3 linked regions of the Nothobranchius furzeri genome follow. The protein of the gene in region 1 purifies or fractionates together with the protein of each later gene. This does not show direct contact. Links are inferred from orthologs where the notes say so. Each region holds a gene or a part of one and is shown on either strand. Other genes may lie near its edges.

Region 1 (10,844 bases):
TATAGTAATTATTGTCTTTTATTACATTTAAATATCCCAGAGGTTTTTGTTTGAATGCTGTCACCGTTTCAGTGGTTTATGTTCTATGTTTAGAATCAAAGAAACATCGATTATCATAAATATGTTAATTTTCTAGCAGAGCCACATTAATTGTGTTTTCAAAACTGTTTGTTATAGTAGCTTTAATGGAAACTGGTTATATGCCATGACATTTTAATTATTACTGTCCCTTTTCCTTTAGGTGGTTATGTATCAAACAGTTTAGCCATTATGACGGATGCTGTGCACATGCTAACAGACGTGGTGGGTATCTTGTTCTCTCTTCTGGCCCTCTGGCTCTCCACTAAGCCTCCTACCAAGAGATTCACATTTGGGCTACATCGCCTCGGTGAGTTTCAGAAGCACTTCCCCCCCCCCATATCCGTTTTCTATCTGTGTCTATTTTGTTTGTTTGTTTCGTTTATGTCTGTGCAGCAAAAACCAAAGTTTGCATTTCAAACACCTTAAGAGAGAGTGTTACAGCAGGTCTCAGGTGTGATCAGAATCTTGTTCCAGAGACACGGAGACCTGGTGTTTCCTTCAGAAGCTCAACATAACCATTCACAGTATGCATATTAATAACCCCGTCAGAACCAAAGATTCAACATGATTTAGGAACAGCTGGAGTAAGTTGTTAGTTGAAGGAGGCACTTATCTGTTTTAACTAAGTCATGAGACTTAATACTTATATAAAATAAAAATGACTTTTCACCAAGTTTCTGAAAACTTAACCCTGACTGTGTGAAAATAACCAAACAAGTCGTTTTATGTTTCCAACAACATAACAAGGCAAGGCAGCATTATTTATACAGCGCGTTTCATACACAGAGGCAATTCAGTGTGCTTTCCATTAGCAAGAACATTAAAATCAACGCGACAGAAAATACAATTTAAAAATTAAAAAGAAGTATTTTGCAAGAAGTTTTGGTGCAGCATTACAACATTCATTCAACACTCGCTCCTTAATGGAATCCACCTTTTGTGCCAGAGCCTGAATCTCAGCCAAAGTTCCAAGCTTACGACTCATCTCGACAATTATGAGTTTGTGCGTTCACTGCATGATGCATCCCATCCCTGAGCTCCAAGATTGAGCCAATATTCCTCGAAAGCTCGTAAATTTTCCGGTAAGCCAGGTAACTGATCAGGCCAAACAGCAGGAATCCAGACACCAAATTATGACACCAAGATTTCTAACCTGGGTCTTTGTCAAAGTGAGTGCTGACTCAGCTGTTTAGGTTTTTGTCCACATCATGAACTTTATATGCATATAAAAGCCGATGCAGCACCTTGTACCTGCATATGATTGGATCTCCCTCATGTGAGTGTCTGTAAAACACTTCATTTTGATTATGCTGCAAAAATCAGAATCAAGTCAGTTTATTGTAGCTTTTTGCATTTTAATCTTTCTGTAATGGTTAACAATTTTGACCCCAATTTTGACTTTTGGTCTTTTAAAAACAAGGCCACAAGGAGACATAGTCGCTGTTTACAATCTGTCCCGCCTCCATACTTCCTGTTTTCAGAGCCAATCATACGTAAGCCTGCGAGGTTGCAAAGTCTTTTGATGGTAAACCCTGCTGTGCCGGCAATTGTAGTTCGACATTGGCCTGCAAAAAGCAGCAGTTGTGGAAATAATGTTACCCAGTAAAAGGAGCGGCCCAGAAGTTATTTCTTGTTCCCCTAAGAACCACGGCATCTTGTTGTTTTACTCTGATATCGGGTGAAGAAGCCTAGAGGCTAACAATGAGCTAACAAGATGGAAGCAAATAGTTGGCTCTACAAGTCTCTCAATAATACAGTGAAATGCATTTATCTCCTTATCAGCTTTGACCACAGGATGTCATTCTGACTTCACACACCTTTATTTTCCTCATGTTTTCACCCCCAGAGTTCGCTCTGTTACACTACTGCTCAGAGACCACCGCTGGTTGCATCAATAAACAAGCTTCACATTGGGGCTTCTCTGAGCCGTAAGCCATCTAGTGAAACAGCTCAGGGCTGTTACTGTTCCCTACCAGACTAATGTCTGCCCCAGGAAATGCTCCACCACTTCAACACAGATGTCTTCTCTTGCCTTTCTCAACTTTGTTTTTTCGTTTTTGTTCTGCTGCATCAGTGTCTTGGACACAACCTATACCTCCTGTTCTCCTCACACATCTTAGCTATGAGAAAACTTGACGCTTACTTCAAAATGGCTGAACTGTTTCTTTAGGTTGGACTTTGAATATATGGGGCTGGTTGTTGTTGTTGTTTAGAACCACTCTAAACCTTTTCTGACAGCTGAATGTGACTTTTGTTTTTAGAAGTGGTATCGGCAGTCCTCAGCGTGGCGCTCATCTACATCCTGACGGCTGCGTTGCTCTATGAAGCGGTTCAGAGGACCGTGCACCAGGACTTCGACATAGATGGAGACATCATGCTCATCACTGCAGCCGTGGGTGTTGCTGTTAATCTCATGTGAGAGACGCCTTTCACCCTAAAGCAAAGATTTTAATAAGATAAACTCTGACTGACCGAGCTAATTGGACTGAATTCTTTGCTCTTTTTGTGTGTTTAGAATGGGGTTTTTATTAAACCAAGGCGGTCATTCCCACTCACACGGCCACGGTCATTCTGCGGTTCCACATTCAACCGGGTCGGTTCAGCAGAAACCACATGGCAGCCTGGCCGTAAGAGCAGCCTTCATCCACGCCTTGGGAGATCTTGTCCAGAGCATCGGCGTTCTCATAGCTGCTTATATAGTTCGCTTCAAGGTACACCCAATTATTTATGTTTATGTATTTAGCAGACGCTTTTGTCTAAAGCGACTTACAAGTGATAATCGGCATGTTGCCCTTGAGGCTAACAACAACAACAATAACAACAATAACAACAACAACATTGACATCAGTCATGGAGAGTAGGGAACAAGGAGTGGACAGTAGAGGGGGGGGGGGGGTGCAGGGAGGGTGCTAGTTAAGAAGATGCTCTCTGAAGAGCAGGGTCTTCAGGAGTTTCTTGAAAATTGAAAAGGAAGCCCCTGTTCTGGTAGAGCTTGGAAGGTCATTCCACATTTGTGGAACGATGCATGAGAAGAGTCTGGATTGTCCTGAGCGTGGTGTAGGCACTGCTAGCCGACGATCCCATGATGACCGGCGCGGCCGAGACGTAAGCCTTTGCAAGAGGATTCAGGTAGATGGGAGCCGTACCATCTCGGACTTTGTATGCTAGTGTTAGCAATTTGAATTTGATGCGTGCTGCTAGCGGTAGCCAGTGGAGCTCAATGAACAGAGGGGTGACGTGTGCTCTTTTTGGCTGATTGAAGACCAGATGCGCCGCTGCGTTCTGGACCATTTGAAGAGGTCTCACAGTACTGGCTGGAAGAGCAGTTAGAAGGGCATTGCAGTAATCGAGGCAGGAGATTTATTTGCTTTATTTACTAAAGAACTCCCTAAAACCTTAGTTTGGAGCACTTTGTGTCATTTTATCACTCAATGAAAATATCTTGAATTTATTTTTAAACATTTAATTAACCCTCCCACTGTCTTTATGGGTGACCCCGCGAGGAAAGTGTACCATTGAGCTGGGTTGATGGTTTATCCCTTGAGGTCCACGTGGCAGGGGTGAGGTGGTGCTCACTCCTCACCCCTGCCATGTGGACCTGAAGGAATAAACCATCAACCCAGCTCAATGGTACACTTTCCTCGCGGGGTCACCCATAAAGACAGTGGGAGGGTTAACACAGAGTTTAACTAATGATAAAAATAAACTAGGAGTGAACACACACTTCTGTAATATGGGTGTGTGTGATGCATCATTCATGTAGTGACATCATGTTGCCTCAGTCTGTCACACCCATCGCTCTTTGTCACAGCTTCATTAGTAACCGATCACCACACCACTCTTTACTGAAACTGTTTACGATGTGTTTGAACATGTTCAGGTCTCGTGTAAATGATAAAAGAGTAAAGCCGGTTTATGATAAAAACAACTATTAAGATGTTCCGTTGAAATAAAAAAGGTTTTAACTCCAATAACACTCTGAATTCACAGCCCGAGCTGAAGCTGGCAGACCCAATCTGCACCTACATCTTCTCGGTGCTGGTTCTCTTCACCACGTTCCGAATCATACGAGACACATTAATCATTGTGTTGGAAGGTTCGTTCCGGATGTTTTATGGTTTTCTGTTTGGTGTTGGCTGTTTTCTTATGTGTGCTGTTGTCCTGCGCTGTCAGGTGTCCCCAGACACATGGACATTCAGCGAATCAAAGAAGACCTCCTGAAGCTGGAGGATGTCCAATCGGTGGACGAGTTGAACGTCTGGGCGCTGACGGCCGATAAGACTGCTGCACTGGTACATCTGCAGCTCGGTGAGTGACTGACTGGATACTCGATGAAGACACTAGGTTTGGGTGAAACAATGTACAGATCTCAGTCAAATGCAAGTTTTGTACCACTGAAGCGTTTGGCTGCATCACAATAAACCATCCCTGTAGAAATGGTTTACATTAATCTGCAGACTCCACACAAGGGGGAGCTGTGTCCTCACTGGTGGAGCAACTAATGCACAAGAGGATTCAGCTATTGTTTATGTAAAAATGGCTCTTTTCTGGAAAATCCAGACTTCAAACACATTGGATTTGCCTTAATTCCTAAATATGGTAATTTATACAACTTTTGTTTGCACACATATCCAATCCAATCCAAACACATATCATTTAGTCCTGTCTGAACAGGCTTAATGTGTCATAATAAATGAACTTTTTGTTATCAACACAAATTTTCCATAACTTTAAAAATCAGGACAACTTTTTCATATAAATATTATGTTGAAATCAAACAAAAGAAGAGGAACATAAAAATATTCACACGGGGCACTGAAGCATGAGTAAAATAAGAATGCAGGGCTGCATCGTAACATTGTCCCAGAGACCTCAGTCTGTAAGAACAAAATGGAAGTTAAAAACCTATATTTAGTTAGGAATGCTTGGTTTTTCCCCCTGACCTTTTGGCTCTAATATTTTTACTTTACATGGTAATGCAGCGGAGCGACTGAAAAAGCTTCCTGGCTTGTGCCGCACATCATTTGAACAGATACGCTAGAAAATCCAGCTTCTTAGTGTTTGGGTATTTTACATCTCAGGACAGTGTGGAGTTAGGATTCAATAAAACAAAGGTCTGATTTATAATGAATGCATGTTTTGGTGTTAACAGCACCCCCTAGTGCTAACAACTGGGAGGAGGTCCAGGCCAAGGCCCGCCACCTGCTGCTTCACACCTATGGTCTCACCAGGTGCACCGTGCAGGTACAGACACACCGGGACAGGGCGGTACGCACCTGTTCACAGTGCCAGCAGCCCAGCGCATAAAGACTCTCGTGGTCACACTGACTTCACCACTCATTCTGTGGAGGCAGAGAGTACACAAACACAGAGGGGCCTGGATGTCCCACTGCTGCTGCAGCTCTGTGCCGTATAGCAAAGTGTGCAGACGTAAATGGAAAAAGAGTGGTTTCGAAGGACATATCTAATTAGAGAGGATCTGCAGCCTCCAGGGACTTTGTGCTCTTTTGCTTGAAAAGCTCATTGAATGCAATTTGACTCGTTCTGAAGAAGATTGTCCTTAATTCACCTTTAAAGCCTATCACAGCTGACAACATTTTTCTTATTTAGCAGTTTAAGTTATCACAACTGCTGTTGGGTCGTCAGATGTAGATCTTTGTTCCAGGTGTTGGACCTGGAAATGTTATTCTTACAAAACACACGACTAAATGTTTCATGCCTGCAAAGTGCTTATAAATTATCTGGACCTTGAACATCACACCTCATTAAACACTCTTCCTCCATATTTTTAATCACCAAAGCCTGGGTTCAGGCTGCTGTTGTTGTTTTTTTATTTAAACAGTGTTGGATATTCATAAAGTAACACATGGTGCCTGGTCTCATCCATATTTAACAGCATTGTTGACAGGAAGCTGATCAAAGTGGTGATGGATAACAGAAAAACTTCCAAGTATTTCAGAGGAGGAAGAGTGAGCTGAAATAAACCAGGGGTGGTATCTCATAGGGGTTTCTCCTGTTTTATGAGGCTGTGGGGGTTTCTGAGTTAAACGTCTTCACATCTCAGACATGAATGATGGGGCAATATTGTTGTTTGTAATAAAAGGTCAAAACACTGTCTCTGCCTTTCTTTTTCTCAAGACAAGGTCAGCTCATAATGTAGCTTGTTGACCCCTGATCTATTTTTATTACTCAGTAGTATTTGGCTCAAATATGGATGAAAATAAAACATTTTATAGATGGACCTTTAATGTGTAACATCACATTTCAACACTAGGGGGTGCACTACTTAAAATGCAGTTTAATTTGTACAATACATCAGATGATGGTTTTGCAAGATATAAAACACTTTTTTCAACAAGAAGGTTTATCTTCTCTAAAAGAGAATGAGTTGGTGCTTTAAACTTGTTTATTTACGTTAATGTTCAAAAGTGCCAGAGATCTAAAACAGCTTACCATTTAAATTATGAGCCTTTAAATAAGACATTCATAGAAACAGTGTTCATGTGTTCATACGTCAGGGGTTAATAATTGACCATGTGTCAAAGGGGGAGTGTCTGTTACCAGGCAATGATAATTAAACCGCAAACATCTGTTTACTTTTTCTGGCCAAACAAATATTTACCAAACCCACTTGTCTGCCCTGCCTTCCAATAGTATGAAACAAGGAATTTAGTATTTTCATTCCCAAATGTCTGGATTATAGTAGATTTTATTAATATGTCTAAAATGACTCACCTACAGAATAATCAGTAATGTAACATGTAGAGGGTACCTGTGTGTCTTTACTTTTTCAACTGTACCTGTTTGGCTTGTTGGTCACATGGTCTGTGGTGTCGGGTTTAGAGTGATGCACGTACACACACACACACACACATCCTTCCTCTCTTTGTTTCTACCAATAATGTCAGCTGTACTGTAGCTGGATTGGTGAAGCCCCCACACCATCAGCTGTCATCCCGCTGCAGAACAAGTCTCCAGACGAGTCTCTGCATGTCATAAACATTTATGTTCAACTAGATTTATGACACACAAGTACATTATTACAAGTTGTCAGCTGACGAAAGAGGAAGGACATTTTTCATCTGAGATGATTTATCTTTTTTTTTTTTTTGCAGTCTTGTGACCTCAGTGAAACCAACTAGAAATGTGTTTCAGCATCACAGAGCCACTCACTCAGAGCAGGAAACTAAAGCCATGCCTCGTCTTCTCTTTGTTCCTTTTGCTTGTTCAATAAATCAGGAGAAATCTATTCAGGGTCATTGATAAGCAGCAGCCCGTGGAGACAGGATACAGCCACCAGAAAATGATGGGATGGACCTGTTCTGACCATTACTCTCCTCTGAGATGAGGCTTAAGAGGATTGTCTCTCTGAAACACAATGGGAGCACTGGATGCTCATCCAGCTGTAATCTAAGCAGATTACTCCTGTTTTAAATTCTTGGTTTGGATGACATTTATTTCTTCATACCTGAAAACAAGACAGAGAATCAAGATCTAATGGTTTTATTGTTTAAACTTGATCTTCTTGAAACATATTTACACTCTATAGACTACAAGAAAACATGTATTTATTATTGCTGCTTTATTTCTAAAACGTGTTTTATTCCAGAGATTAAATTGCACATGCATGTTTGTTTTTCTGTTTTATTCCCACCAGTACTTATTAACACCTGCATTTTTTATTAATTTGATGAAAAATCAATGATAAAAAACAGTATCCTGTATAAAAAACTTATAACATCAAGAAAAAATATTTTATTAATTTTTATGCACAAGTGACTTCATCTGAATTTGATAAATAGAGTTACTAAAAGTTTAATTCCTATTTATACACAAAATGAAGCCATTTAAAATGTTTATACCTTATTTACATGCTGATAACACCTTTTTATCTCTTAAGATAGAGATTTTTTTCCCTTCACTGAAACAATCCATTCTTTTCTGACAAAACATTTGGGAAAGTTCTGAACCTGACTTTAATAAAGACTGATTTATGCTCTGAAAGTTCATGCATAATTTAATCTAATAAGACAAAATGTCCTAATGTTAGTATGACCTGCACATTTATTCTATAACTTTATTAAATAACAATAAATACATTTTTGTTTCAAAGTATTTCCAGTTTGGTAATTAGTGTTATGGTGACATTCGTCCAGTTTGTCCGTGTGTGCTCAGCTGACAATGATCAACTCTGAAGGGCGTTAAGGATCGCAGCTATTGTAGTATATGGTTTTCTCTTTTTGTGTGACATTTTAAAAATGTGTGACATGTGTTTTGATATCTTATGTGTCAGTCCAGCTGTTATTTTTTCACATGCTGTCTAATTAATTGCTATCTATGTAGGTCACTCATGGGAGGACAATCCTGTATGAAAGATGCTAAAAAGATATAAAAATATGTTTCCAACATTGATTCTGTAAAGAATAGAAGCAAGGGCGTAGGAACGGGGGGGGGGGGGGTCCAATATTGGACAAACGCGTATTTGTCCCCCCGTATTTAACCTAAGTCTCCTCCCCTTCTGGTTGGCTCATGGGTCTCCGATCAAAAAAAAAAAAAGAATGTTAGTGATCTGGCTACAAAAGTTATTTTCTAGTCTTTCTGGGCTTTGCCTTAAGCTTGTTTTATGCTTGACGCGTCCGCGAGGTTCGCACGGCTCCGTGTGGCGAAATTGCATCATTTTAACACCACGTGCCTCCACACGGCCCAAGATTTCTGCATCGCGCACCTAGGAAATTTCTAACCATGCGGACGGTCGGACGCGGAAAAACATGGCGGACTGGCAAGAACTATGGCAGAGGTTCATAAATACAGACATTTTTATGATTCAGCTCTCAAAGATCACCGTGATCAACATGTTGTTAATAATTCTTGGAAAGAAATAGCTCGCACTGTCGGAAAAGACGAGGACGCTGTTAAAAATGCTGGAATGCTATGTTGTAAACAACAGTAATTTCTACTTCTACTATGGTGTAGTGTTGGATGCATGCCGTAGAGCTCCGTGCTGCCCCGTTCAGTTTGGGAGAATATTGGCTCACCGCAGAGACAAGCCGCATGAACCATAAACGCTGCGAGTTGTGAAGCGCGTTCCATCCGCGAGCCGCATCACCAAGCGGAAAGTGAATGCGTCAAGCATAAACCAAGCTTTACGTCCTGAGTTGCATCTGTCAGGCTTTTCATATCCTACAGTTTCACCGTCAGAAGCTAATGCAGGAGATATGTGTGTAGAAGGGCCCTCGTTTGTTTCCCATGAATTCTGACTCTGACTGTGAATTTTCGTATTTGCCGCCCAAGGGGAACGTTAGAACATACCATCTGGCGAGGAGGGGGGGGGGGGGGGGGGGGTTTACAAATACCCTCTACTTTTAACCTCCACCGTGGTAGTTGAAACCTCCCCCTCGCATTGGCTCGGTCCAAACTCAACCACTGACGAGGCGGCTCCCGCCGTTCACTTCATAGAGCCGGCTTTTAGAGCGATCGACACATCACTAACGTGTTCGCTAGCAAGATGGTTAAGGTTAGGATAGGGGTGAGGGGAAGGTTAAATAAGAGGATATGGTTAAGGTGAGGTACAATGAGCTTGTTTGGTGCCCTGGCTGCGGACATCCCATCACGTTAGTGTAACGCTGCATTGGGATGCAACGGTAAAGGACATCCCATCGCGTCAGTTGGGATCTGCATTGGGATCTGCAGTCAAATAAGGGAAAGATCCCTTTTCGCACATAAGTAACGAAAAAGGGCACTTTTGGCATCAGGGGTCAAACGTGGAGGGTGGCTGACCAAGCGTTTGTTTTTGAGCGCTGGGAGTGAGAATGCGGGCGGTTCCTACCACCGCCATCTTGGCCGGGCCACACATCTCGTCACTCTGGGAAAATACAAACACGTAGCTGAGAACAGGGCTGTGAGGGTGGGGGCGGATGACTGAAATCCATCAAACTCTGAGCTGATGTAGCTACGAGCTAACTACGCTAACCAAAGCGAACAGAGGTTGGTGGGCGCATTTAGCTATACTGCAGTTGAGCGACCCTACTACCCTCTGCCTTTTAACATGAGGCTGAAGCCTTCCCTGGGCTAGCTGCTAGTGCTGACAGCTCATTTTCTAGTTGTCAAACAAATGGACTCGCCCCTAATAGCTTATCATTTCAATCTGTCATTTCATCTAAAGTAAATCCCACAATGGACACTAAAGCCTGATTTATGCTTCTCCGTCTGCGTCAGTGCGGAGACACGCAACGCCATTATCCGTCCTTGCGTAGGGCTCTATGGCAAGCCAAAACCGTCACAATACGCCACTTTCCCAACCCGTCTAGTTAAGAAATGGCGAAAAAAACGCCGTTTGATGTGCCAAGACGTCGTAAAATACGGCGAAAACTCTGCCAGAACGCCGTAATTTACGCCGTTCTGAACGGTCCCGTAGAACGCCCGTAAAATACGCCGTTTTTTCCGGACATTGAACGCCGTTTTTTACGTCACCCTAATCCCAGACGCGTTCTCTGTGTGGGTGGCGTAAAATACGGCGTTTGGTACGGACATTGAACGCCGCTTTTTTCGCCGTTCTGTGACATAAAACGCCGCTTTTAACGCCACTTTGTGACAGTTTTAACGCGTTTAAAATTCAACTTTACTCTCATTTATGCAGAGCCCTCCCCATGGGTTTCTCATCCACTTAATTTAAACTCCAGTGACCCAATGAAAGACGAGGAGGTTGAGGCAGCACTAATTCATCCCAGATTCGCCGGGCTGTCGGGCTGTGCGGACTGCTGTTT
Region 2 (10,708 bases), on another chromosome or scaffold:
GAATCAACAGGAGGAGAGGCTCCAGAGATGAATAAAAATGTTCAGGACAGCAGGACTTCATCTTGCTTGTCATCCCAGGAGTTTTCTAAGTTTGAGCAGAACGTTGTAGGGCACGGGCTGTAGCCAGAGCTCCTTAAAGGAAAAGCAGCTCACAAGACACTCCCGTAGTTTGGGATTTAAAACAGGAAGTGCATGATAAAGATTAGCCACTAAAATGTGGACTTCTGAAGCTGTGTCAGGATGGGACTCAGAGCCGAGTTGTAGGAAAATAAAGAGTTTCAGCCGCTTTAACTCCAGGACCTGCTGGGAACCTTCACCAGAACACGGTCTGGGGGAAGGCGGATCAACAAAAGGAAACGTCTAACGATGTCAAATTCAGAGGGTTTCTGTTTGAACCAAAACCAACAAACAGGAAATCAGATGCAACTGAAAGGAACATAAAAGTGAGATGAGGAGGCAGTTTAAAGTCCGATTATGCAGAATAATAAACAGAAGCTTTGGCTGCATCTCCTCACAGGAGGATTAACTGAATCCTCTTTTCTCGGACTCGTCCAGGCAGGTACCGTTGTGTCACACCTGGACAGAATCCACCCAGAACCACGGACACCTTTCATCACCTGAACACAGCAGGAGCTTCCTCACATACCCACAGCCAGGACCTTTTTCTTGATCCCCGTCTTTTCCTCCACCTTCCCCAGAAAATCCGTCACCACGTTCTTCTCGTTCAGAAACTTTTCTGCTCGGTCCTTGATGGAGGTGAGAACACCCAGCAGTCCCATGGTCTCCAACAACGTCCTCAAAGAGAAGCAGAGAGGAAAGGATCCTGGACCGGCAGCTGGCAGGTAGTAATCCTCTCACAGCAACAATCTGTTGTAATGAGGAGGTGGAGCGGTGAGGGAGGAGGTGCCTCGTGAGCATCCGTTAATCCCAAAATCATTCATTCAAAAGTCTCATTCTTAGATAGAAACATTAAAACTTCCCCCGATGATTATGTTATGGTTATATAGTTGTTTAAAGTTTCAGTCTTTGCCTTTTCTCCATTTCTCGTTTTTATTCTCCATCAAACACAAAACAGATTTACTCATCCTAAAGGCAAAGTTGTTCATATTTTTGAATCAGCATCTTGAAACAGTGAAATGTCACTCAGACCCCACCGCCCTCTGTGGCCAGGATACCTCAGAGTCCTGGGCCACCGCCTGTTGTGCTGCTGCCAGCATGTTTGTTTTAGATCATGGACACAGTTGTTTGTTTAATTTAGTGATGAATCACTCCTGTAGACACTAAAGAAGGCTGGGGAGACATTTCAGCTATTAGATTTGGGTGTTAAAAAGAAAAAGGCACAGCGAGGAGATTGGTTTCATTTTGGACCACAGATAATTAATAATGGACACTAGGGGGTGCTAAAAGCAAGAAAAACTGCAGAGTGTGCCCTTAAATGCCAGTTGTGCAGAAACAACACAAAACATCAAGGGGCCATGTAGGTTTTTTTAAACCTTAAATGGTTTTATTTATATATATATATATATATATATATATTTTTTTTTTTTTTTTTGGAGCACACTAGAACTACAGCTGGTAACTTTTACTTATAATGTGTTACAGTCATATCCCCATTCGCACATTCGGGTGCCTTCACAAGCATGTGAGAATGGCCTTGTTTGAGATGAGCGGCGCCTCGCCTGGAAAACAGGTGAGAGCAGACGGACGCAGCGGTGGGAGTGGCTAAAAGCCTGCGTTTAAGTGGGACAGGTTTCTCTACATGTAGCTTGCGGGTGACGATGGCTGAAGAAATCGCATTAGCGTTCATAATTGCGTAACCCTCTGGTGCCTGTTAGCAACTGAAACACATCCTCACATGCGTGTGGAGATCATGTGTTGTAGACATGTGCTTATGGAGACATGACTGTAACAATAAGTAAAGGTTAGCAGCTGTAGTTTTAGTGTGCTCATAGGAAACGTGACAAAAGAACGTAATCACATTTCTCTGTATGGCCTGTATAGTTGTCATCATCAACGTAACATGATTTACAGAATACATGTGACCAACTATCATTTAACGTTCCACCACAGGATGTTTGGATCAAAAGTCGGCGTTGAAGCTTCTTTCCGGAGTATTTCTCTTATCTGATGGCACCATCTAGTGGCTGACAAGCATATCACACAAAAAGTCTGTTCCTCTGTTTGTTTAAGATGGCGACTTCACGTTTCTGGTTATAAATGTGCTTCTGCAGCTGACAAACGGAGCTAAAACACGCTGTTTTACGAGTATTATTCTCATGTCATGTTGTGTTTTCATATATTTATATTTTAGAGACTTACTTGTCCGTGAAACGTTCATCAACTCTGCATCAGCCGAGGTATTCCTTAAATTTGAAGCACGTAAGCGGTAGTCTAACACAGTTGGTTAGCTCTGGTCGGCGCTCAGTTCCCTATTGAATGGAGCTCTGTGGGGCAGGGGGCGTGTTTAGCAAAAAAAAAAAAAAAAGACATATTGCTTACATTTGATCACAGCACATGATGGGATAATCACTTTAACAGATTCTGAACAATCATACATCATTTTTGAAAGGGGAAAACTCCGGAATGCAGCTTTAAGTCGGATCCAACCGGCATGCACCGCACGCCGATCACTGGTATTCTAATCTGCGCAGAACTGGCTCATCTCGAACACGGCCATTTACTTCCTGGATTGTTGGATTGTCTGGGCATGGCAACGACACGTGTGACACAGCCAAGATGGCGTACGTGGGAACCGCCCTTTTGGCCTCATGAGGAGGGAAGTGGGAGGCTTTGTCCAGGATTATTACACGTCTGTGGAGGAGACCCAGAGGGAGTCTTCTCTGACGTGGCCCACCAGGAGAAGCTGGAGAGGGTCCAGGTGTCCATCATGAATCTGTTCCGTCTGCAGCCGTGAACAGATGGACAGACTCCCACTTTGACAACTGCTTCAGTTGAACTTTAACCTTTTGAGAAGAACAGCCCAGTAGCGTCCTCTTTAGCCCCGGATAAATGTGTGAAGTCACTTTTTGTTCTGCTGATAACAGCTGGAGGACAGAAATGAAACCAGCTCACGGATGAAGCTGGTTTTATTTCCGTCCTCGGAGTCCAAACTGCTCCCGCTGACGTGGTTTACAGCCGCTCCAGCTGAACTTTACCCGTTTTATGATGCTGCACCTGAAGAAAAGGAGCTGGACGGGAGCCGGGATGTTTAGAAGAGCAGAGTCTGAGCTGCACCATGAGGTGAGTGCAGATGTCTGCATTAATACCGGATTGACTTTATTTATGGAGAAATCCTTAGTTATTACTTTACTGTCTCATCTCCCTCAGAGGGCTCGTCCCAATCATTTCTTTTACTCTTTAGCCTTTTGTCCTTATTTGTTTTCCTCCTTTGCTGAACATCTAAACTCAACCTGTTGTCTGAGAGTTCACTTTCGTCCTTTTTGATGTCTTTCAGCTCTGCTCAGAGTCAGACAGGACTTTGGTCCAAACTGGAGGTCCTGGAGTGCCACTTCACCTGGGATCTGGCTCCTAGCAGGTCCCGACTGCTCCGCCTGCGGGACGAGCTGGAGGACATCGGCTCGGAGGAGGGATACTGCTGGCTGGGTCACATCTACAACCTGCAGGGCTTCGTTCACTGTCAGCTGGGCTTCGTCAAAGAGGCGCTGCGGTTTTTCTGCAGGGCCGCAGAGGCTTTCCGACAGCTCAGGAACACCGTCTCAGATGAGGGCCCGTGGCTGGTGGTGAATTACGGAAATCTGGCTTGGCTGCACCACCACCTGGGGGAGCAAGCCCAGAGTCAGGGATATCTGTCAAAGCTGGAGGCCCTGATGAGTGAATATCCGTCTCCGTGCCTGGATGAACCCCATCCAGAGATCTGTGCTGAAAAGGCCTGGACTCTGATGAAGTTTAGCAGCAGCGAGAAGCTGCTGGCTGCAGATTACTTCCAGAGGGCCATCAGAATGCAGCCAGACATGGTGGAGTGGCAAACCAGCCGAGTGCTGGCTTTAGTAAATGCCTTCATGCACCAAAGAGCACACACGGATGTGGACATCTTAGAGAAAATGAAGATTGCCAAAGAGCACGACCCAGATAACTTGTACCTCGCTGCTCTTTACCTGGAAGCTCGAGCTCAGAAAGGAGCAAAAGTTCAGGATGAGGCACACAAGTTGGCCAGGAGAGTTTTAGCAAAGCCGGTGAGCAGCTACAGCGGCATCAAGCCATTACTGCGGCTCTACAGGATCCACGTCTCCATGGATGAAGCCATCGATTTAGCAGAGGAGGCTCTGGAAAGGCATCCAGGTGCACGCTACATAAAGAGATGTGCTGCAATCTGCTACAAGAGGAAAGTCTTCTCGCAGAGCAACAGTCACCTGGAGCCCAGCCGGATGCACAGAGCCATCAGTCTCCACAGAGAGGTCATCGCTCTCTACCCTCATTCCTCTCTCCAGATGCAAACATCTCTGGCAAACATTCACGCAAAATTAAATCAGCGAGCAGAAGCTGAGGAAATGTTTCAGGAACTGCTGAGAACTGACCTGGACGCTGAAGGAGAGCAGATGGTTTGCAGTTATTATGCAAAATATTTAGAGTTCAGTCAAAAGGAGAAGCACAGGTCGGTAAAATATTACATGACAGCAGCAGCTGTCCCACATCAGTCCTTCTACAGGGAGGACAGCATCAGAAGGCTGGAGAAGATCAGAGAAGAGAACCTGCCGCCCACGAGCAGAGAGGTCCACGAGTTCCTGCTGGATCTGACAGACTGACCCGGATTCATGCGTGTTTACCGGGATGATAAACACGAAGGAAACAGACGAATAAAGTCTAAATTAAGGTTTTGTGTTAATAAAATTATCTTTAATACATTTTAATTTTTTCTGCTACTTATTGGAACTCATTTATTTATTTATTTAGTTCACAAAAGTAAAATATTCTGATTAAAAATAAAATATTTGAAATGTTGCTTCTGTCAGTTACTGGAGTAAAATGAGAAAGAATCCACTCAACATTTAGAGATTTAAAAAATCTCAATTAACTGATTTTAACCTTTTGCCCCCCCCCCCCCCCCCCCCCCCCCGGTCTTTTTTATTCTGGTTTTTACTTTCTTCTGACTGATCATGAACTTTGTGATCGATTGCTCTGGTCTACAGTGTGCTGTCCTGACGACAGACCGGTACAACGCCCAATAAATTATTAGCAAAAATCAGAATTAAGAAATAAACACAATGAAATGAACCGGTTCCAACGTTGTTTGAACCAATTTTTACGGCTAAACGAAACTAAAATTAATCGACTCTTTCGGTTCCCAAACGGCTCCTCACATTTTTTGTGCCTGAGCCACCTCAGCTGGTTCCTCTCGGCATAGTTTTTAAACTAATTTATCACCAGAAATCATGTAAAATCCATCTGTCCATTTTCATCCGCTTATCCGGAGTTGGGTCGCGGGGGCAGCTTCTACTAGCTGAGACGTTCTCTGCTGTTTCCTGGACTCTAAACCAACAGCAGCCTTCCCCGTCGTTAGCCAAGATGGGTGAGCCCATGAATGTTAGTGACAGTGTCACGTAGATCTGCCAGGCTTTCCTAGAGATTCCCCGTCAGTTTTCTATCAGAAGCTAATAAAGGAGATAGATGTAGGAGACTATTTTCATGTTCAGCCTGCATGAAACACTCAGAGTGCCTGATTATCAGAAATAATAATTAAAACATGTTTTTCGGTGTTCAACACCTTTAACAATACAGTCTCTGAACAAATAAACATTAACGTGTATTACATAATATACAAGTACTACATGTAGCAAAATCACATGACTTTTTTATTACTTTATTTTTTTTAATATAAAACAAATCACGGTACAAAAACATAAAAACACGCTCTGCCGACGTGGCTTGTGACGTTTTGACGTAGGCTGTTAATGAACTTCCGGTTTGGATGTTAAAAGAACGTCCGGGTCGTTTTGGCTGCTCGTCGTTCATAAACTACAGAAACGTTTGTTTCCCATGAGCAGTCCGGTTTAAGTCGTTGCCGACGGGCTGAGAGCAGACACATCAGAAGGTTTCCTCCGTGAAGAATCAACTCTGGTAAACTTTAGAGAACGCTTCCGCGCCGCGCGAGCTGCGCGAGCAGCAGCCCGAGTTTCATACAAAAAACGTCTAAATTAAACAAAAATCGGCTGCCAGCTAATGTTACTTCCGTCACTAACGTCATTTTTACCTCATAACAATTGTTGGGTTGTTCTGAAATGTTCGGCTTGAAATGTTCCCGCTAGACTAATAAATCCGTTATTTTCCTACGAATATTGTTGCATTTTAAGCTAATTCTGGTGTATCACCGCTAACAGTTAAATTTGGGTGTTGATGGTTTTTGTTTATGCCGAATTGGTAAAATAAAAAAAATCGTATTTCGTGTATTTAAATGTAAGACACGTGACCTTTTCCTCAATCATCAGCGTGAACTGTGTTTTAGGTGGATTTGTCGTCTAAGATGAACATTGGCTCTAAGAATAAGAAACGTGTGGTTCTGCTCAGCCGCCCAGAACTTCCTAATGTGGACCAGATCCTGGAGGACATCAGCAAGGCTGCTCCTGATGATCCGGTCTTCAACGTCCTGGAGAAAACTGGGAAAGGCGAGTCCACATAGATGACCTTATAACAAACACGGTTATCTTCTTAGTTTAAATCAAAACTTGTCTTGTTCTGTTTAACACTTCACAATAAAAGCCCATTTCTGTTTTGATGTTCAGCATCTTGGTTACATCATGTTTAAGAAAAACGAGCAAAACAGTTTTTAAGATGGCCAAGAATGATATTCTTTATAAAATCAGGGATGCTTGTGTTTCATGGCCTTGCTCCATCATTCTGGATTCTGGTTGTTGAGCTTTGGTCTCATCTGCTCTCTGCAGAATGGTCCCTCCTTGCAGACAGTGAGGTGGAGCACCGGTTCCTGCAGTGTCGCCGGTACCTGGAGCTGAATGAGCGGCTGCGGGAGGCTCAAGGCCAGCTCCAGCGGCAGTGGGAAGAGCTACTGGCTGTGGGAGAGCAGCTGGACAGAAAAGTGGAAGAGATCAAAGGTCAACTTCTCTGACTCTACACCATTTCTGCTTGGGACACTTTCTCTGAACTCTGACTGGTCCAAGTGCCTTTGAGCCAGACAGCAGTGGCGCCACAGTGCTGGATGAGTTTTGAACTCTCAAATGGGCCGGGCTCTGCCGACCTCGTATCTGCCTCGCAGTAAAAGCTGCAGAAAGTCTTCTTTTGAAAGGATAACAGCCGTTTGGCTCACAGTGAAGGAAACGCAACGATGAGTCACATGAAAAGTAAATCTGAGAAGAAAGGAGAGTAAATCAGGAGAAACGGACAGAAATGAACAAATGCACAACTTTAATGTTTGTAATAAAAGTAAGTTCATCTGGAAAAGCAAAGCTGACCGGGGAAAAGTAAATATTAAAATGATCGTAAGCATTTTATTTTTGTCGTTTCTTCTCCGTACACAGAAATATTTAAAGTTTTCTAAATACATGAAATATTTTTAAAATGATTTGATTGTTATAAAAGGTTGTAAAAACAAGAGCAAACAGATGGAAAGCATTTTTAAAATAATGCCCAAACAAACAAAATCAAGACTAAAAGGTTAACATTTAAAGGACCACTTACCAACATTAAAACACCGGGTTACCCAAACAGAAGGTGTTTTAAAAAACACACGTTGATATTAAAAATCGACGCACTAAGAAAACACCCGAGTGTTTTAAAATCCCAAAGTCGGCAAACTACGATGTTAACCTTAAAACAGAGTCAACATCAAACAAAGATTCATTTGGATCACTCAGAGTTAAAACTATTAAAGTTAAAACTCATCAAAACGAAGGTGTTGAAACCAAAACGAGGCCTGGAGGACAGCAGAACCCTGCAGCCTTTTACCCCGGGTGTGGGTCATCAGGAGGATTCAGCTCAGCTGGGCTCCTCAGCAGCCTGGAGGAGAGGAGGAGGAGGGGCGGGGTGATCCTGGCTCCTGCACCTGAAGAGGCCAGGCTGGTGGTCATAACACTGTTCATGGTTAAATAACAGAGGAAACCAGGTGAATGTGAACTCTTACAACTTCATAAAACCGATGAGAATCTGCATGTGTACCTTGTCTCTCACTCACACACACACACACACACACCTGGTTCAGATCCCTAACCCTTGTTCAGCGCCGACCTGCTGACACATAAAATAGAAAAGCAGTTGAGCTCAGCTGTGGTGCGTTCGCTGACCCCATAAAACGACTAAAAAAACTGATGTTTGACTTTAAATGGGTGTATTAATATTTATTTACTTTCCAGACTAAATTATTTGAAGTAGCTCAGTTTGCTGGAAAACGGTCTTTTCTGTTTTCATGACCACCTCCCATTTGTGCATCTGTGCCGTATAAAAGTAGAAATAAACGTCATCAAACTGAACATGAAAACACAAACTTCTGTTTGATGTTTCTCATTAAACACGAACGCCTGAAGGAAGTCCACCAGACCGTTTTAAGGAATCACATCACTTTTATTGGAATGAAACATTTATAATGACACACTTCTGCTGTTTGCATGTTTGTCGCGACCCCGTGACCCCGCCTGCCATCTTGTTCACATGCAGGATGAGATGTTTTGTACCATTCTGCTCCAAACGGGTCGGATCCAGACGTGAACAAAGTCAGCGGCAACACCAACCACAACTCTCATCTCCTTTAACTTCATATTTAGTTTTTAGGGGCCAGGGGCGTGTCCAGGGAGTGGCCTGGGGTAGCACATGCCACCCTTGGAATCTGATTGGCCACCCCAGGTGCCACCACACTAATTTACCTTTAAATAGGCTTTTCATTGTCCACAAACGGCTTGGGGGTAAAACAAAAAAAGCATAACCATTGGTGCCACCCATGCACAAAGTTGTGCCTCACCTGGGCCACCCCATTTTAAAAGATCTGGACACGCCACTGTTAGGGCCGTGAAGTCATTCCCACATCCTAAATCTGTCTTTTCAAGGTTAAACAGAGGACTACAGACTACTGCCAGTCCTAATCTGTCTGACACGTCAGCAAGGGCAGTAAATTTATTCATAATCTATAAATGAATAATTGTCATTTGACATCATGGTCACAGATGTTGATAATTACCGTAAAAACCACCCAAATACCTATTTTTCTTTTACACTTATGTAGTTTGCGACAATGAAAACGAATTACGAGCAGCAGGCTTTTTCTACTGGAACGTTGGGATTTTAACGGTTCCCGGATTTCTTTCTCTTCTTGGAATGATGCTGCTGTTCATGTTCTCACTTCTTTCGGTTGGTTTGGTACTGAAAAGACAGATTTCAGAAGGATGTTGGCCTTTAAAAAGCTGCCAGGGTTTGGTTCGGTACAGGGTGGTCTCTGAGTAAACAGCCCCGTAACGCAGGCTAAACACTCTCCCATCCACACCTACAGGCACACGTGAAGGAGGGACGGGTACGACTACAGAGAATACTCATAATCCTCTCCAACTATTGCTACTTTTACAGCAACACGGTTAAGCAGAAACGAACATGTTGTGCAGAGTTGAAGAGCTAAGTGCCGGATCCAGGTCCGTACCACCACAAGCCTCATGGCGCAGAAATGGGGACAGAATTAAGAAGATTAAGCTTTCAGAAAAGGAGACGATCTCAGCCAAATGTTGGTGCTGAAACGATGTGACCTAAAACAAAATACTGGTTTTAGTCCTGGATTTCTAATGCAGACGCCCTCTTTACTCCATAAACGCCCTCCTCTTTGACTTGTTTTATCCTGATGTGTCATCATGGCCAGAGGCGCTAATCTCCAGGGACGTCCTGGTTAATAAAAGGTTATTGCCAGTGTTGAAACTTTAGATCTATTCTATGATTTATGTGGGTCCTATTATATATTTTTAGTTTCAAGAGGCCTCTAACATTTTAACATTTGTTTTATTTTATTTTACAAACCATTCCCTTTTACCAGGCCACAGTTGTAAATAAAATAATTGTTTTTAATCTGGTTTTTGCTGGTTTTAATAAAGGGTTAAAAAGTCTGATTGGTTAAAAACAACAAACTAACGTACTTATGAAGGATTTAGCAAAAAAATCTGTCTCTCGAAGGGATTTGAGCTCTAAAGTTTCAGTACACTCCAGAATGAGCCTGCTGTTGTTGACCACGCCCACCCATCCCCTGATAGGCTGCTGTTACAACCCCGGCACTGGGGGGGGGGGGGGGGGGGAATCATGTGTGGAGAGGAGGGGGTCACATAAAACTTAACAGGAGGAAAAATGAGGCACAAAACGAACAAACACGAAACGAGAACGCCTATATTCTTACAAAAAGAGTACCGTATTTTTTGGAGTATAAGTCGCACCAGCCATAAAATGTAAAACGAAGAAGAGAAAAACATATATAAGTCGCATTTTGGGGGGGAATTTTATTATTTTTCTTACAAAATCTGAGACCAAGCATTTCACACTGCAAGACAAGTACCAGTAACAATAAAAGAATAAACAACGCGGGCGCAGCAGCGCGCCACGGTCTCCAGCAGAGGATGGCGGTGTTTCAAACCCTCCCAGCGGGGCAGAGGAGCTGAAACCTGGACCGGAGCCGGTGTCGGTACAGGATCGGCTCGGGGTCCTTCGACTGCCGATAACGTCACATTACTGCAAATCTCGGCTTTCACACATACGACACATAAGACATCAGCAGTTTTGT
Region 3 (10,844 bases), on another chromosome or scaffold:
AGTAGCGTCAGCACCGAGCAGCCCTTCAGACTAGGGCTGCATGGTGGCGCAGTGGTTAGCACTGTTGCCTCGCAGCACCAAGGTTGCAGGTTCGAAACTCGGCTGTGGCCTTTCTGCGTGGAGTTGCGTGTTCTCCCCATGCATGCGTGGGTTTCCTCCGGGTACTCCGGTTTCCCCCACAGATCACAACATGCCCTATAGGTTATAAATTGTGTCGCTTTGGATAAAAGCGTCTGCCAAATGAATAAACATAAACAAAAACATAGACTAGAGCTAGAGCAGTTGGAGCTGGAGGTCTGAATAAGCTGCTAGCTGCAGGTAAGCTGGGGTCATAACCAGCTTTCAGTGATCAGAACCATAAATGGCTCTAATCTCTGTTTCTTATTCATTAGATGAGGAAGATTTGGGTTTTTACTCTTACTAATCATTGCATGCTTGTTATGTTTATCCCAGGTTTAACGACATCCATGTTCCAGTCAGGCTGGAGTGTGTGAAGTTTGCGAGCCACTGCCTCATGAACCACCCTGACCTGGCCCGGGACCTGACAGGTGTGCTTTGTCCTGTGTTTGTGCTGATTTAACGTCTGTCGCTCACCGCGTTTACAGAAACACGCTTGTGTGTCTGTCATCTTTCTTCAGAGTATTTGAAAGTGCGTTCCCACGACCCGGAGGAAGCCATCCGCCATGATGTAATTGTCACCATCATCAACGCTGGAAAGAAGGACCTGAACTTGGTCAACGACCAGCTGCTGGGCTTTGTGCGAGAAAGGACCCTTGATAAAAGGGTGAGATAAATATGTAGGAGAGCTGTTGGGAATCTGGACTCAGGTGGTTCATTAGTGTTGTTTGTTCTTAGGGTGGAAAGAGTTTCTATCCTCTCCTTTGACACATTAAAGGCTGAATATGGAGCACAAACACCAAAGCGACATCTAGTGTGTGGAGGTTGTAGTTGCAACAATAGAACAAGGTTTCTAGCTACTGGGATACCAGGTTTGCTGTTTCATTTGTGTCCATCTGTTGTTGGCCTCACCTAAACTCACTCTGGTTCTAGATCTTTTATGGCCACTCCTCTTCTGATGAGCATAACTACGTCTTCTTGGCTCAAAAGCAGCTGCTTGACTTGCCGAGTCCGTCATTTTCCACAGCCTTGCCGTGCCGAGTGCATGTTTGACAACCCACACCGGTGGCTGGTAGATGTAAACGTAAACCCAGTGTTGTACCCGTCTAAATAAATATTTGATTATTTTTTAATGAAAATATAGCTTTTAAAGGAAATACTCTACCTTCATTCTGCACACCTCTAAATGCCCCGTGGAGGTATTATTTTGAAAAATAAAGCTTTAAATTGTTCCATATTCAGCCTTTAATATGCAAACACCATCACAGAGGTTTGAAGTGAATCTCTGACCACAAACTTGATCCTAATTTCATTCTCCCCTCTTTAATCTGGTTTCCTCGCCTTCCCCTGCAGTGGCGTGTGCGTAAGGAGGCCATGATGGGCCTGGCTCAGCTTTACAAGAAGTACTGTCTGCACCATGAGGCTGGAAAGGAGTCGGCCCTGAAGATCAGCTGGATCAAAGACAAGCTGCTGCACATCTACTATCAGAACAGCATCGATGACAAGTGAGTGGCCTCCCACCGAACCGAGGAGGCAGTTGTACGTTTTAAATTTCATGATTAGTAAATTTGATTTGTTCTTCCCACAGATTACTAGTAGAGAAGATTTTTGCTCAGTACATGGTTCCCCACAGTCTGGACACAGAGGAGAAGATGAAGTGTCTGTACTACCTGTATGCCTGCCTCGACACCAATGCTGTCAAGTTAGTAACTAGCAAAGTCTGCACAATGGTTTTAATGTTTTACACATAAATGTTGACTTGTGCGTTAATTCAGAAGTGTTACGTTGGATAAAAGGTCAGCCATATTCCACACACAATATTAAATCAAAAGCATTAAACCATCAACAAGTCCATAACAGGAGGATGTTTGTCTTTGTGATCTTTGCTTCCAGGGCTCTGAATGAGATGTGGAAGTGTCAGAACATGCTGAGAGGACTCGTCAAAGAGCTGCTTGATCATCACAAGCTGCCAGCGGTGCGTTCAAGCTCACCTGTTGTCCAACAATTATGAGACAAGAATCTAAAATTAATCTGTAACAAGTTTTTTCTGTCTTCTTCCTGGCAGTCCGAGGCCAATAACACAGCCATGTTTGGGAAGCTCATGAGCATTGCTAGTGAGTTAGAAACATAAACATGCACATATAGTTATTCATCTTGGCTGTTAAGCAGGTTTATTTTACCTTTATTGATGTTTGCAGAGAACCTACCAGATGCTGGGAAGGCCCAGGACTTCATGAAGAAGTTCAATCAGGTTCTCAGTGAGGATGAGAAGCTCAGAGTCCAGCTGGAGATGCTGATCAGTCCAACCTGCTCCTGCAAACAGGCCGAGATCTGTGTGGTGAGACGAGGCTCTCTAGCTGTGGATTACATCCAATTCAACGTGCACAAAGCAGAAACCTAATTCAGATTCTGAGTTTCATAGGTCAAGTTTTTTTTTATCATGCAATAATTAGTATGAATGCTTACAGGGGGTACGAAAAGAATTCAGACCCCAATCAAGTTTTCACTCTTTGTTATATTGCAGCCATTTGCTTAAATCTGTTAAATAAATTATTTTCCTCATTTATGTGCACACAACACCCCATATTGACAGAAAAACACAGAATATTAGACATTTCTGCAGATTTATAAAAAAAAAATAAACCTGAAATATCACATGGTCTTAAGTATTCAGACCCTTTACTCAGGATTTAGTAGAAGCACCCTTTGACCTAGTACAGCCGTGAGTCTTCCTGGTAAAGATGCATCAAGTTTCTTACACCTGGATTTGGGGATCTTCTGCCATTGAATACTTTCTGTACCCGCTGTATATTTACTGTTTCCTATTTCTACTTGTGCAGAGGGAGATTACTCGTAAGCTGACATTCCCCAAACAGCCCACCAACCCTTTCCTGGAGATGGTAAAGTTCCTGCTGGAGCGGATCGCACCGGTTCACATCGACTCCGAGGCAATCAGGTCGGAGAAAATCCTCAAAGATTAAGACAACAATACTAGAACTGGCTTGTTTTATGTTGCGGTGATTTTAAGTTTTTTAATTTTATTGAGGTGAACATTTTTTATTTAAATGTGTTTTTAAATTCTAGTTTTAGTTTTCAATCACAGAAAAGAGAAACTGTGTCTTCAGGTTTCTGAACCTGAGTGCTTAATGTGTGTGTGTGTGTGGTTGCATAACACTGAGCTATCATCATTCACTGAGCCACCTAGCGGTGGTCATGTGCAACTGCAACTCCAGTCTCCGCTCCTCTTTAACCCTTTCATCTTTTTGGGAAACCACACTAATAAATGAGTCCAGACACACGTGTGGATTAGGGATGTTGTGTTTTTGGTTCAGTGCTCTGGTGAAGCTGCTAAACAAATCCATCGAGGGAACAGCGGATGATGACGAGGAAGGCGTCACCCCTGATACAGCCATCCGCTCCGGACTGGAGCTACTCAAGGTTTGATCGAAACCAGAGAAAACCTTGAAATGGCCCTTTACAGTTGGATAATTAATGAGTTTCCCTCTGCTTTCAGGTCCTGTCATTTACACACCCCACAGCCTTTCACTCGGCTGAGACCTACGAGTCACTGCTGCAGTGTCTAAAGATGGAGGATGACAAAGTGGCAGAAGCAGCCATCCAGATTTTCAGGAATACCGGGCAGAAGATTGAGACAGAGCTGCAACAGATTCGATCGTAAGAAGATGGATGCGTTGATCCTTTCATGTGTTTGTGTTCTAAATAATTGACGCTTAGTTGGATTTGACACAGGTTTCCTCAGTTTGACAAGATTGTCCATTAAAAGAACATTAAGATGCCTCTGTGAGAATGAACATGTAAATGAAAGATTTCCTGTTGTTCTTCAGGACACTGATTCCCATCCTGCACCAGAAGGCCAAACGAGGAACACCTCACCAGGCCAAGCAGGCGGTCCACTGTATCCATGCTATTTTCAACAACAAGGAAGTGCAACTGGCACAGATTTTTGAAGTAGGGAATAATTTCATGTTGGTCTGTAGGGATCAAACTTTTCATGTTAAGTGTTTTTATTGGTGTCACCAGACCGTTTATGTGTCAGGATGTGTTCATCTTCCTCCACAGCCTCTGTCACACAGTCTGAACGCCGACGTCCCGGAGCAGCTCATCACTCCTCTCGTCTCCCTGGGCCATATAGCCATGCTGGCTCCAGATCAGTTTGCATCACCGATGAAATCCATTGTGGCTAACTTCATCGTGAAAGACTTGCTCATGAATGACAGGGTGTGTGCAGCAGCCATCCTTTCACCTAAATCAGGAGTCACACACACACACAAGGCATCAGGAGTCACTTTTTTTTTTTTTACCTGTCTGGCCCGTTTAGCTTTAAGCTTTAGCATCTTTTTTTAAGTTGTTACAAACTGCATTTTACTGGGCAAATACATACAGCTGTAAATAAATGACATGTGTGTTTGTTTACATAAAGAAAGCAAAGATGTGGTTTATCTCTGTGTCTTCAGTCAGTGGGAAACAAGAACGGGAAGCTATGGACCGCTGATGAGGAAGTTTCTCCTGAGGTCTTAGCAAAGGTACCTGATTACAGATTGCTGTTTGGGCCCTTTTTAAAATATTAACAAACAGATGTTAAGTGTCACAAGAAACAAAAGACACGTTTCCCCTCTGTCCTCCAGGTCCATGCCATCAAGCTTTTGGTGCGCTGGTTACTGGGAATGAAGAACAACCAATCCAAATCGGCGAACTCCACCCTGCGCCTGCTGTCGGCGATGCTCGTCAGCGAGGGAGACCTGACGGAGCAGAAGAAAATCAGGTAGCTCAGCTGAGCTCTCAGTCACGTGTGGCAGCCATCATTCCCCATGAGACTCCAGACTTTAGCTGCTTCTGTCCTCTTTCTCCCAGTAAATCGGACATGTCTCGTCTGAGGCTGGCTGCTGGGGCGGCCATCATGAAGCTGGCGCAGGAACAATGTTACCATGAAATCATCACACCAGAACAGTTTCAGCTCTGCGGCCTCGTCATCAATGTCAGCGTCACTTTTACAAATATTTTTCATTCCGTAGTTTATTGGACTCTAGCGTTCTTAAAACGTAAACAACCAAGTGATGGATGCATCTTAAGGCATGCTGAATCATTTCACACAAGTCCCACAATGTGCTGTGAAAACAACTTTCTTACAGCCAGATGTCTAAAACATGAGCTCCATGTGAGCAGTTGGTCTCATGAGCATCTTAACTCTCCACAGGACGAGTGCTACCAGGTTCGTCAGATCTTTGCACAGAAGTTGCACGTAGCTCTGGTCAAGCTGCTGCTGCCCCTGGAGTACTTGGCCGTTTTTGCTCTGTGTGCCAAGGACCCGGTGAAGGAGCGGCGGGCCCACGCCCGACAGTGCCTCCTCAAGAATATCTCCGTCCGCAGAGAGTACATCAAGCAGAACCCCGTCACTCAGGGTCTGTGGTCATAATTCATAATTCAGCTGATGTCTCTGGTTGTTCTCATTAAAAGGAATTTTCATTTTCCCACCAGAAAAACTCATCTCCCTTCTTCCTGAATACGTGGTTCCTTACATGATCCACCTGCTGGCCCACGACCCAGACTTCACCAAACCGCATGAATACGAACAGCTGAAAGACATTAAAGAGTGAGTGTGTGTTGTGTTTGTGTCGAGCTGAACGTGTGTGTTTCAAACACGGCTTTTTTTGTTGTGAATCCTGAAAACCAGACAAATGTGGTTTAGCTACAGCTTGAATCCTTTTACGCTTTGCTTTCTTCAGGTGCCTGTGGTTCATGTTAGAAGTCCTGATGACCAAGAATGAGAACAACAGCCACGCTTTCCTTCGGAAGATGGTCGAGAACATCAAGCAGACAAAGGACGCTCAGTGTCCTGAGGATGTGAAGGCCAATGAGGTGTTTGGCACATGTGACGTTAAAAGATTTAATCTGGTGTTGTAACGGGCAAGCAGAATGTGGAAGTCTGACATTTAACACATCCATTTTTGTGAAAGCAGGAAGTTGATTTGTTTACTTTCAAATGATTCTTACCGGGAATCTTGTGACCTTACAGAAACTGTACATCGTCTGTGACGTTGCACTATTCGTCATCGCTAACAAGAGCACCGCGTGTCACCTGGACTGCCAGAAAGAGCCAGTCTTACCCTCAAAGTTCTTCCTTGTACAGGACAAGGTCATACCACACACACACACACACACACACAGAGATGTACATTATATAGTGTGCTCATAATGTTTTGGGACCTTAAGCCATTTCTAACACTAAATGCATGTTGTCATAACATTTCAAATCCTAGTGTGTGCGTGTGCGTGCTTGTACGTGTGTGTAAATAGATGGAGAGAGAGAAAATAATGATTTTGTAATTTTCCTTGTCAGGATTTCAAAAACGATAAGGAGTACCTCACGGCAGAGATGAGACAGATGCTGCTCACTGGAAAGGTAAACGATCAACACTGGAGTGTAAATCTTGACACGAGTTACTCTAGTTTTCAACTTATGGGAAGTTTAATTTGGAATAGCTCGGCAGCAGTAGTTCAGGAGGTTGAGCGGGTTGTCAAGTAATCAGGCTCCTGTCAGAGAATGCTGCTGTTGTGTCCCTGGGCAAGGCACTTAACCCTCCTTGCCTGTAGGTGGTGGTTAGAGGGACCGGTGACGCCTATGTTTGGCAGTCTTGCTTCTGTCATTGCGTCCCAAGGCAGTTGTGGCTACATTGTAGCTCATCATCTCTCTCTGTGTGTGTGTGTGTGTGTGTGTGTGTGTGTGTGTGTGTGTGTGTGTGTGTGTGTGTGTGTGTGTGTGTGTGTGTGTGTGTGTGTGTGTGTGTGTGTGTGTGTCACTCTAGTTTATCATCTCAGCTGGTTCTGATTACAAAAAGGAAACTTGTTGCCGTGTTTACTTTATTTTTTAAATAGTTGCAGGCCGGAGCACGGCTGCAACTCCCCACTCCTCCCTCTGTTGCACCAAGGCGTAATATGCGTTCACAAGTCTGGCATTGCGGTAATATGATTACCAAGCATGGCGGCATGAATGCCACAAAACTCCCGCTACGCCATGCCGCCACGTCACATGCATGACACGCCGTGGCGGCAGTGTTATGCGGATTTGCCGGCATGGTGTCTTCTAAAAAGGACTTCAGATTGATAGGTTGTGAGATGGAAAACATTTGCAACAGCACTGTTTTGTTAGGTGAATATTTACTGTGGGGTGCTTGTTTTAAATTGGAACCGGTAAACTTTGACAGAATTATATTTGAAACAAAAACCAATGATGCATTTTAAAAGTTTGGTTTTAATGTTTTTTATCCTGCAGCCAAAACCAGCTCCAGTGTTGGCCGCTGTCAACAAACCTCTGACAGTACCAGGGCGGAGGATCTTCAAGACCCCCACAGCTTCTGACACATCCAGTAATACAAGCACCAACGCCTCTCCTATCATCAAGAATAGGTAAGCACACACACACACGCACACACACACACACCCACCACCTTTGCCTAACCAGAACTGCCCAGTGCTGTCCTCTTGGTCCACCAGGCAATCCCTCCTGTTGGTGCAATTTTCAAACAGGAAGTGTGAGTGGAGTTGGATTCTGGTAGGGGGTGATTTGCTCTTTAAGCTCAAAACCAGTGGATTGTCAGACTTCGCACCTACAACACTGAGTGCATATCCATGTCTTCAACCAACCACTTACCACCACAGCACTGTAAATTATCAGACCGACACTACTGACATAGGGAGAACCACACCACCCATCTTATGGAGGACAGACTCGAAGCTTTGTTAAACTTACCACTTCGCTCAACTGTGGCACCACTCATTGTCAGTTTCACATGGACAGTTACGAGAGAGAGAGAGAGAGAGAGAGAGAGAGAGAGAGAGAGAGAGAGAGAGAGAGAGAGAGAGAGAGAGAGAGAGAGAGAGAGAGAGAGAGAGAGAGAGAGAGAGAGAGAGAGAGAGAGAGAGAGAGAGAGAGAGAGAGAGAGAGAGAGAGAGAGAGAGAGAGAGAGAGAGAGAGAGAGAGAGAGAGAGAGAGAGAGAGAGAGAGAGAGAGAGAGAGAGAGAGAGAGAGAGAGAGAGAGAGAGAGAGAGAGAGAGAGAGAGAGAGAGAGAGAGAGAGAGAGAGAGAGAGAGAGAGAGAGAGAGAGAGAGAGAGAGAGAGAGAGAGAGAGAGAGAGAGAGAGAGAGAGAGAGAGAGAGAGAGACCCTCATATTTGTCTCTGTTCTCTCTGATTTCAATAATCTCTTGGTCTCCAGTATTATGATTTTGACTACAACACTATTAATTCTTTTTCTGTCTTTCCAATTGATCAATCAAACCCAATTATTATGCAAAAAGAAAGCTGGGATGCTTAAAATTGGCTTTTTACCAGTGCACCCTAAATATTATAAGACTCTTAAATTATGATACCGTTATGAACAGAGATCTTTTATATAGCGCCTCTCAACATAACGATCATGAGGCGCTTCATGAAAACAAAAAAATTAAGATATTAATATTTCTAAAAATGATAAAAAATGATCATCTACCTGATGTGATGACTTATACAAAAGCAGTTTTTCTACTGTTTGTATTATTTTGACCAAAATAACAATCCCGGGCAAGCCCTCAATTTTTCACGCCTGGCTCTGGTGTCCACGACTAAAATTACAACATTCAATCAAACTGTTGAATCAAGCTGTTGATAGCTCAGTCATAAAACTATTTGTTTCATTTACTTTGTTTTACAACAGCACTACTACAGAATCATCAGAGAGTCGAGCGCAGGAGAACAACGAGAACCCGGTCATCAAAAACGAAGAGGTGAAAAAGATAAACGCAGATGGGTGCAAAATATTTCCTAACTTCACTCCTCGTTCTCCTAACTCGACATTTGTCGTTGTCATTCAGGATGCATCCGATCAGAAATCAACCCCCGACACTGGGACCGATGGGTCACCTGTCAAACGGCGTGGCCGGCCTCCTAAAGCTGTGGCTGCTGCTTCTGCAGGAGCAGAAAAAGAGGGCACGGTGCCGTCAGCGGGGGCTGGAGGTGGCCGAGGAAGGAAGAGAGCAACTGATGCGTCTGCAGACCCCCTCAACATCAAGATGTCAAAACAGCAGCTGCAGCAGAACGATGAAGGGACAAAGAGACAGATTGATCTGCAGAGGTAAAAGTGCAAAATGCCGGATCTCAGCAGCTTGAATTGTTGTTTCTCAGCAGATGATTCTTTATAAGCAAACAGGCGTGCCTGAAAAAGAGAAGGGATTGGAGGATTTTCCAACTTCAGCTCAGTGGAACAAAACTTTTAAGGGCAGTTTTAATATCTAACTGAAATCTAAGCTTGACATAGACAGGAAGTAAGAGGGTCTTTTGTTTTCTGCAGCCTCTACTAGGGCCAGATTTTAATCACAATTACCATCTGGGTTTTGAACAATAACAAAACGAGCTGATTATTTGTTCCTCCCTCATGTGCTGCTCTGAGTTGCAAATCAAGCGCATCTCCCACAGTGTTACCAAATGTGTCGCTTTTCATATCCCCCTTTTTGACTTTTTATCCTAAAAGCACCCAGCAAATAACGTGGTAACATTTCTGATAACTAGCTACTTTGTCATCGATATTCCCCGCTGGTTAGCAAACCATCAGGAGAGGTAAACAAGTTCACATGTGCGGTGTATGTCGTCTGACTAATCATTCTCTGCGGATCTCACTCATTAAAACACTTTTTTGTGAGCTAAATAAATTCGAGACATAGCGAGTCGTATCTGAAGTGGATTTATATTTTATCAGGGCTGCAAATTCTCTCACGATAGGTGTGAGACACACATTTGACGTTTGTCTTCATGTGCTCTCACACCACACCTCCAGTTTCTCACACAGATAAGTAATAGTAGTTCATCTTTCTAAGCGTCACATTGCATCGTGCTGCTGTGCACACACACACACACACACACACACACCTACGGCTCCGCTGACAGGACTAAATAATTATTATGTAGCAGGTTGTGAAAGTTCATTACAACAGAGATATTTATATTTTTATTACAGATGTTTGCACTATGTGGCTCTTTTGTGTCAGCATTTTCTTTTATTAAAATAGGTCTGTATTGCGTAGGCTTAAGTCAAACTTTCATAGCCTTTTGGTTATGAACTCTATTATTTCCATTAACGCTTTACAATATTTTCAGAGTAAAAGTCAAAATTTGCAGCTAAAACAGTAAAATGCATGAATGCAGTCAGAAACAGGTTTGATGATTTATTTTTTCGTGTGGAAATAATATCAGATGGTAAAAAGCTCCAAAAAGTATTTTTTCCATATGTCCTCTTTAACAACGGGGTTGTTGGTTTAGTGTCGAGGCAACAGCAGAGAACGTCTCCGCTAGTAGAAGCTAAGCATCAGCAAGTTCACCACACAGCAGAACTGCTCCAGGCTTCAGTTATTTGTGGACATAAAACACCAACGTTGCAAGTCAGTGGTAGAGTCGCGTTGTTAGATCTGAGATGTTCAAATATCAGGAAATAAGACTCCAAATTCTGTTGTGTTCAGATCAGCTGTGATCTGGCACACTTCTAGTTCCTGATATAATTGTAAAAAGGTGTGTTTCAGCTCGTTGCGTGGCTAGAGGTGTATATTCATGGAGAGGCAGTGCTTCCAGTCCTAAGCAGGGACTTAAGGTGCAATATATATTTTCTGCCTCTAGATGGTGCCCTTTAAGAAAAACTGATTTTTGCTTTAAGTTTTTTCTTTAACTCTGAACTAATTTAACTTT

The links.
Region 2: the proteins of slc30a4 (region 1) and c8h19orf25 purify together in Homo sapiens (affinity purification with mass spectrometry; 3 studies listed by BioGRID and IntAct, counting the BioPlex papers as one, with this or other methods). This does not show direct contact. The link is inferred for Nothobranchius furzeri from reciprocal best matches to the Homo sapiens genes SLC30A4 and C19orf25.
Region 3: the proteins of slc30a4 (region 1) and pds5a purify together in Homo sapiens (affinity purification with mass spectrometry; 3 studies listed by BioGRID and IntAct, counting the BioPlex papers as one, with this or other methods). This does not show direct contact. The link is inferred for Nothobranchius furzeri from reciprocal best matches to the Homo sapiens genes SLC30A4 and PDS5A.

Annotation. Positions count from the first base shown.
Region 1 is NC_091749.1:43,226,886-43,237,729, reverse strand, and holds part of slc30a4 (probable proton-coupled zinc antiporter SLC30A4), read left to right. Parts: intron 1-241; coding exon 242-388; intron 389-2,342; coding exon 2,343-2,496; intron 2,497-2,596; coding exon 2,597-2,792; intron 2,793-4,071; coding exon 4,072-4,177; intron 4,178-4,254; coding exon 4,255-4,389; intron 4,390-5,233; coding exon 5,234-5,325; coding exon of another isoform or gene 5,326-5,388; exon of another isoform or gene 5,389-5,519; intron 5,520-7,196; coding exon of another isoform or gene 7,197-7,223; exon of another isoform or gene 7,224-7,430; intron 7,431-10,844. UniProt on the Homo sapiens protein: Probable proton-coupled zinc ion antiporter mediating zinc import from cytoplasm potentially into the endocytic compartment. Controls zinc deposition in milk.
Region 2 is NC_091748.1:78,704,411-78,715,118, forward strand, and holds c8h19orf25 (UPF0449 protein C19orf25 homolog), read left to right. Parts: upstream 1-5,887; 5' UTR 5,888-6,075; intron 6,076-6,460; 5' UTR 6,461-6,478; coding exon 6,479-6,620; intron 6,621-6,896; coding exon 6,897-7,078; 3' UTR 7,079-7,458; downstream 7,459-10,708. Other genes in the region: reep6 (receptor expression-enhancing protein 6), read right to left, coding at 647-779; interferon-induced protein with tetratricopeptide repeats 1, read left to right, coding at 3,236-3,240, 3,455-4,763.
Region 3 is NC_091747.1:79,464,130-79,474,973, reverse strand, and holds part of pds5a (sister chromatid cohesion protein PDS5 homolog A), read left to right. Parts: intron 1-453; coding exon 454-548; intron 549-638; coding exon 639-784; intron 785-1,470; coding exon 1,471-1,622; intron 1,623-1,705; coding exon 1,706-1,819; intron 1,820-2,010; coding exon 2,011-2,092; intron 2,093-2,182; coding exon 2,183-2,231; intron 2,232-2,315; coding exon 2,316-2,455; intron 2,456-2,957; coding exon 2,958-3,073; intron 3,074-3,449; coding exon 3,450-3,555; intron 3,556-3,631; coding exon 3,632-3,792; intron 3,793-3,962; coding exon 3,963-4,086; intron 4,087-4,197; coding exon 4,198-4,356; intron 4,357-4,592; coding exon 4,593-4,661; intron 4,662-4,763; coding exon 4,764-4,900; intron 4,901-4,989; coding exon 4,990-5,113; intron 5,114-5,332; coding exon 5,333-5,537; intron 5,538-5,613; coding exon 5,614-5,728; intron 5,729-5,861; coding exon 5,862-5,994; intron 5,995-6,151; coding exon 6,152-6,271; intron 6,272-6,475; coding exon 6,476-6,538; and 10 more. UniProt on the Homo sapiens protein: Probable regulator of sister chromatid cohesion in mitosis which may stabilize cohesin complex association with chromatin. May couple sister chromatid cohesion during mitosis to DNA replication.